Ovis aries: one gene and its partner. The protein of the gene in region 1 binds, or shares a complex with, the protein of each later gene. Links are inferred from orthologs where the notes say so. Each region holds a gene or a part of one and is shown on either strand. Other genes may lie near its edges.

What was found. The genes of interacting proteins can lie anywhere in the genome.
Region 2: NUP214 (region 1) and NUP107 share a complex: the UniProt entries of both Homo sapiens proteins name them as parts of the nuclear pore complex. The link is inferred for Ovis aries from reciprocal best matches to the Homo sapiens genes NUP214 and NUP107.

Annotation. Positions count from the first base shown.
Region 1 is NC_056056.1:5,533,596-5,537,248, forward strand, and holds part of NUP214 (nuclear pore complex protein Nup214), read right to left. Parts: intron 1,566-3,653; coding exon 1-1,565. UniProt on the Homo sapiens protein: Part of the nuclear pore complex. Has a critical role in nucleocytoplasmic transport.
Region 2 is NC_056056.1:151,297,232-151,300,884, reverse strand, and holds part of NUP107 (nuclear pore complex protein Nup107), read left to right. Parts: intron 1-2,093; coding exon 2,094-2,238; intron 2,239-3,653. UniProt on the Homo sapiens protein: Plays a role in the nuclear pore complex (NPC) assembly and/or maintenance. Required for the assembly of peripheral proteins into the NPC. May anchor NUP62 to the NPC. Involved in nephrogenesis.

The DNA.
Region 1 (3,653 bases):
CACAGAGCTGAACCCAGGCTGACTGAAGGAAAAGCTGCTTGCGGGGCTGCTGGTCGACTGCCCGAAGGCCGGGGCCTGCCCAAAACCCGGCTGTCCGAAGACCCCTGGGGCGGAGGTGCCAAAGGCAGGACTGCCGAACCCCGAGCTGCTGACCTGTGGCGCGGCGGCCGCTGTGCTGGCCATGCTGCCCGTCTGCTGCCCAAACAGGCTGGGGGCGGTGCTGGCGGCCACCTGCCCAAACATGGGGGTCGCTGAGGGGGCGCTGGCTGTGTGGCTACTGAGCTGGCTGAAAGCTGAGCTGGAGCTGGCAGCGGGAGGCTGAGTGAAGACAGAGGAGTCAGAAGTGGCCATCCCAAACACTGGGGTCTCCGTGGCTGGGCCTGGAGCAGCGCTGCAAACACCACTGGAGGTGGTGGCAGGTCTGGATGTTTCTGGGGCCACAGGGATGGTGCTTGAGGCTCCAGGTGCCGAGATGGTGGCTGGCCCAGGCACAGAGACGGTGGGGCCTGGGGACAGTGCTTCCGTCTTGATGTCTGGGACCCCAGGGGCTGCTGGAGCAGCCTCAGCTGCAGGCACCAGGACACTGGTACTGGCCGCTTCAGTGCTAGGACTGCTGATGGCAGGCTGGGTGAGAGCAGGCTCTTTCTTCCCAGAGTCGGGAGTTTGAAGCGGAGCCTGGGGAAGCGGGGTTGGTGGCTGCTGCCCCAGGAGGGAGGCAGTTGATGTCGAGGCCTCATTACTGCCTGGCTTCTCGGGCAGAGCCGATGACGCAGCTGCTTCTGAGCTTTTACCAGAGCCCGTGGGCAGGGTGGGGGCAGACCCTGAGCTCAGGGGGCTGCCAAACGACAAGGTGGGGAGTGACGTGGGCAGGGGCGTGGCAGTGGACGCCGGGGAGGAGGAGGGTGCTGTGCTGCTTGTTGGTTGGCCTCCGAATGAAAAGCTGGTCTTGCTACCACTGAAAAACAGGCCCCCAAAACTGATAGCTCCAGAGGAGCCTGCACTGGTGAGTGGCAGGTTGCCAAAGACGCCCATTGAGGAGCTGCTGGGGCTGGGACTGGCTGCTGCTGTTGGTGCCGCTGCCGAGGTGGCTGCAGAGGTGGTCTCGGGGGGCTCTGCGGGCTTCCCCAGCACCGCAGGGCTGGGAGAACTGAATCCGGAGGGGGCGGTGGGGGTCTTGGTGGGCTGTGCACTGGCACTGGTCACGCCTGGGGATAGTGCCTTGCTGGCTGGCTTGGTGGGCTCGTCTGCTTGGCCGACCCGCAGTCCTGAGAAACTTCCCAGAGTCTCTCCCGCCAGGGAGCTTGGGAACAGCAGCTCGCCCAGCTTGGACGGTGGCGCCTCCAGCTTGCCAGTGGGAGTGGAGAGAGAGATTCCAGAAGGGGCTGCGGGTCTGCTGCTGTGTGGGGCGGACTCTCCTGGCGCGGCACCAGCTGCTCCTGTGCTAGCTGATGTTATCGTCCCTGAGGAAGGTAAGCTTTCAGGAACGGTCTCATAGAAAGGCTTGCCTCCCCCGCCAAAGGAGAATGCATCGAGCTGGCTTGGCTCTTTGGTGGGGGGTGCTGACCCTGGCAAGAAAAAGAAATTAAGAGATGGGTTGGGTGTCACAAAATATGACCGACCACAGCCTCACTGACTTCTCTAAGCCAGAGCCTCTCTCCTCCCTTGACCTCATCAGGACAGCCTGTTCTGACAGCACTGTCCTTGCGCGGGACAGAACGTGTGCTTCTCCGTGGGAACATGAGCACTGAGTCGTCTCACTGAGGTGAGAGGAACGCACGTTCTTCTCATCACCATTAAGTCACAACAAATACACTTGCATCTAGAGTACCTGAAGTTAACCTAGTTGTCCACAAGAGAAACAAAAGGGCCTCACGCACATTTCCTCCCATGTGTGTGTCTCAGGAGTAACATTCTCAGCACATGCTAGCCTATGGACCTCTTCTTGACAAGACAAGGAATTGATTCCGTACGGTAGGTTTTCTTTTGCTTCTATGAACAAAGTGTCAATCCGCAGGTCATCTTTCTTACCTACAATTCAGGGCTACTTCCTAGTGCTCTCCTCACGGAGTGCTCTCACAGTGGCAGCGTGGTCTGCTGGGCAAGGACATGAGGGGCTGAGGCTGAGGGCTCTGCCACTTGCTGGCTGTGCCACTCTGGAAAAGTTAACTGATTTCTCTGGGCTTCAGTGTCTCCATTTGGAAGACAGATAATAATAGCTATACCTCATAGAGTTGTTGCAAAGATGAAATAAAATGTAGGTAAAGTACTCACAAGGCCTGGTCAAAAAAGTGGTCAACAAAGAAAACTAAAATTTGATATTATAAATGGAAACTGGTCTGTTGCAAGGGCCTGTTGAGGTGTTTAGCTCCATGTGGTTTTAAGAAGTCTAGCTATCACAAACACCTGGGAACACTGCGAAGCCCCTGGTATCTGCAGATAACTTCCAGAAACCCCTCTTTGTATCACTGAAGTTGTACTGAGTTGCTTGTGATTCTGGATTGCTGTCTGTTCGAGTATTAATGAAAATGGTTATGGAATTTCTGTTGTGTTTTATTCCTAATGTATTTCATTTAGGATTTCTGACAATTATTTTGTTCTTGCCAATCTTTTTATACCATTGAGCTGTTTTTCTTTTAGAAAGTGAGACTCGGGAGAGGAGTGGGCCTCAAGTGGTCCACATCTAAGTGGACAGAACCGTTTAGGAATCACTGCTCCAGACAGAAAAGACAGAATGAAATCAACAACCTTTTAAGTGCCGCACACAGACTGGGTTTAAGATGCCTGGTATGCTTTCAGCTCCCGAATATCCCTCTAGCAGATTTTAAGAGATCCCTTTTTTACCAAAAAATGTTCATCACTTGGGCTGACACACAGAAAAGCACTCGTAAAAGTACATGCTGAAGGAAAAGTTGAAAGATGGTCATTGTCTTATTTATTATAGGAAAACCTGGAAAAAGCCTGAACCGTTCAAGAGGGGGATGGTTAAATAAATTAGGGCACATCTGCATGACAAATTATGTAGCCACTAAAAATGACATTTAAACAAGACTCTCACTAATACTGGAAAACTCACAAGGATTGTGTTAAATGAAAAGGTAGAAGCAAAAAATCCCAAAAGGAAATAGAACTGAATGGTTAAGGGTACAATGTGTAATTCTAGAACATATTACTTTAATAAAAAATATAAACACTTTTATAATAAAAGCTTTCTTTTTAAAACAGAAGTAAACTCAATTACTTTGAACTGAGAACTTGAAGGCACTTAAAAAATACATCTGGTTTCTGATAGGTCCTCAAAGTCTTTTAAACATTAAAAACATGCTGGTAGATGTTGGTCTGAGCGTCCCAGCTGGCTCAGTGATAAAGAATTTGCCTGCAATGCAAGAGACTCAGGTTCAATCCCTGGGTTGGGAAAATCCCCAAGAAAAGGAAATGGCAATCAACTCCCAGACAACCCCATGGACAGCAGGAGTCTGGCGGGCTACAGTCCATGGGGCTGCAAAAGAGCCAGGCCTGACTCAGTGACTAAACAACAACAGACGCTGGCAGATCTGCACCAGCGTGCGCGGGACAAGTGTGTCTCCCGATAGGTTATCAAGGAAAGAAACACGAGTTTAGTCTTTCCTTTCTACAGTACTGCGTGTGTGTTCAAT
Region 2 (3,653 bases), about 150 Mb from region 1:
ATTTTCTCCCTTTTTTTAAGTATGGCATGATATTTAGCTAAAAAGTTTTTAATGAGAATTGAAGTCTTATTCATAATTAAAGTAACTCAGTTATGTAGGTTGAAATCATTTTTTTGGTTAGACTTCCAGAAAACTGAGACCCATAAGCATCTCACGTCATAGGTGGAAACTGTGACACCAGCAGCAGTTAGATGCAGATAAAATGTATTAATCTGACAGTTTACTGATCAGAATAAATAAATTCTGATTGGTTGCTAGTGGCTGTAAAAACTGAACCCTGTTTTGAAGCATAGAAGAGGAGGCCAAGAGTAAGCAATGAAGACTGTCATAAGGAAGAAAAACAAAGCATTAAAGGAGAGAAAAGAGAAAATTTGAGGAAAAGTAAGTGAGACACTCTTCAGGAATCATTATGATACAGTATTTAAAATAACAAAAGAAATGTCATATAGATTGTGATGCAGAATGACCTGACCTGGGTGCTTAAAATACCCTATAGAGAAAGAAAGAATTGTGCCTAACTGAGACGATGAAAACGGAAGAGTTTTGTTGGACTAATAGAGTGTTGTGGCTCATTTAGTTCCAAGAACCAAGATGAAAAGGGCTCTTTATTTGGCTCTGTGGTTATTGAAAAAACAGAGAGAGTTTTACACACACCAGAAATGGCTCTGTGGTTATTGAAAAAACAGAGTTTTACACACACCAGAAATTGTCTAAATTATGTGTTTTCAAAGGAATGGTTTTGCATATTAAACCTCTCCTTGTCTTGGAAGGTTAAATCAATCTTTGAAATATTTTAGAGTGTTAGTATCTTAACAGTGATTTAGTCATTGAACAGTTTTATTGTTATGAAGCTGGTTTATTTTGGCAATGTTTATTCTTATTCTACTTAAAAACATGAGTGAATTGACTGCTTCTAGGTTTCAACATAAGATGATGACTTTTATTATTTAGTGCTTCAGAACTGCAAGTTTAATAGTAAAATTATTACTCTTCTAAAGGCCAGGCCACCTCATGCGAAGAGTTGACTCATTGGAAAAGACTCTGATGCTGGGAGGGATTGGGGGCAGGAGGAGAAGGGGACGACAGAGGATGAGATGGCTGGATGACATTACCGACTCGATGGACATGAGTTTGAGTGAACTCCGGGAGTTGGTGATGGACAGGGAGGCCTGGCGTGCTGCGATTCATGGGGTCGCAAAGAGTCGGACATGACTGCGTGACTGAACTGAACTGAACTGAAAGGCCAGGATAGAGTAAATATGTATTGATTGTCACAGAATGTTTGGAAGTTACTTTGTAGTGAAAAATGTTTTCTTGATTTTGTTTTGCCAATTTTAGTATCAGTTATGAGAGGTGGTTGAAGAAGTACAGTTATTTGTTACCTTGGTTGAGTTTAAGTACACCATGTGTCTACCTACAGAACATTTTTATGAATGCAGAATATCACTACTGTGTAAGATTTTCAGTTTGATCTGGGTGCTGATGATGATGAGTACCCAGAGGAAATCGGTCTTGTGGTAGCTGACGCTAAACTCTCCTCAGCCCATAGTTACTATCTAATTAATATATAGGGTCCCAGCACCCATCTTTAGCATTTTCCCTTGGGGAGACTAATTTAAAGGTACATTTTTATTGTTGTTCATGCCTGGATTTTTTAACACATTGCATTTGCTTGGTATGTCTCAAGTACTTAAATCTGTTAAGTTTCTAAATCATCCTTTTTTTTCATTACCATTTATTTGTTTAAGAAACTGAGTCATTCATCCCATAATATTTCCCAAAATTAAAAAATTGATTTAAAGTAGTCCTAGAGAGTAAAATTCATGAACAGAGGAGCCTGGTGGGCTACAGTCTGTGGAATCATGAAGAATTGGACACAACTGAGTGACTAACACTTTCACTAGGGCATAAAAGAATGGAGTAGTGCAAAGAAGAAAACACAGCCATAATATCCTTAACAAAATAATCATGTGGCCATCTTTTAAAAGTGAAAAACACATACGTTTTTTTAAAAAAATGTTAATAGTATTAAAGTCTTTATTCACTCAGTGCCAATAACTACATTACTTTTCTGTATCTCCTGTATCTTTTAGGTGACTAACCTGGATGACAGTAACTGGGCCACTGCTTTCTCATCACAGCGTGCAGGGCTGTTCTCAAACGCAGAGCCCCACAGTGTAACAGAGGACGTTACCCTCAGTGCTGTAATGTTACGAGAGGATGATCCTGGAGAAGCTGGTAAAATAGCTTTGGTCTTTGTTTATAACACAGTAGTTTGTCATTTTACTAACATCAAGGAAATCATCTCCTATTCCTGAATATTTAAAAATATTTTTTGTTATGCTTATTAGTTATAGTAATGGCTGTGCCACTTGATGATAATGGGTTAGCCAAATTTGTTTGGGTTTTTCAGTGAAATTTTTGGCCAACCCAGTAGTAACTCTAGAAGGTTGAGAACCTCACCTTAGTTCTCAGTTGGAGCAGCATCCTGCCATTTAATCTTTTCAGTGTAAATAGCTCCCTGTTAGGTTATTAGACTAGTTGCTAATGCTTATATTCTTTCCAAACTTGTGCTGTTGAGAGAGCTTCTCTTTTTGTTTAATTTTTATCTGACATTGTTGACATGTTTTGTTTTGGCCTGAATGCTAATGCTGTTTCTTCAAATAGTATTGTGACCATTCTGACTTTAGGCTGGTTATTACCATACCCTTCTGGAAAAAAGCATTTGCTTTTAGTGTGTTTATACCTGCACGTTATGACATAGATTCTTCGTTAATTTATCATTATAGACTAACATATGTGAGTGCTAGTCAGTATGCTTACCACTATACGCACGTTCGGAGAAGGCAGTGGCACCCCACTCCAGTACTTTTGCCTGGAAAATGCCGTGGACGGAGGAGCCTGGTGCTGCAGTCCCTGGGGTCGCTGCGAGTTGGACACGACTGAGCGGCTTTGCTTTCATTTTTCACTTTCATCATCGGAGAAGGAAATGGCAACCGACTCCAGTGTTCTTGCCTGGAGAATCCCAGAGACGGGGGAGCCTGGTGGGCTGCCGTCTATGGAGTCGCACAGAGTCAGACACGACTGAAGTGACTTAGCAGTAGCAGCAGTATGCACATTAATGCATTTCATGGTCCATTAAATAAATACAATAACTATTTCATTTTCGTGGAAAGGAAACAGCTGCTTAGATATATTAAGTAACCTGTTTGAGCTTACCTGGCTAAGAAGTGATGGCACCAGGATTTAAAACTGAGTAGTTTGATTTCAGCACCCTTCTCTTAACAATGTAGTTAAGAGTAGTAGTGACTACTACTTCTTTGTAGTATATGCCAGTGATAAGCATTCAAATATTGAGTAATTCAAAAATGCTTTGTACTTAATATATAAAATATAAGAATTTCATGTTTAGTATGAACCATGGCTGAGGCCTTAGATATACGATATTATAGTAGGGTGTATATATTTTCCCTGAATAAAGCATGTCATTTTAGGATATGCTATAACTTTTCCAATTACTTTGTTATGGTGTACTTAAAATATAATTCAGGTGTTTTAAAATTTGGCTCATGTTTTTGTAGTAATTGTTGACAGACTAATAACTAATATATCTTTGGAATCTTAAAAGACATATAGGTGACAGAAGACTAAAT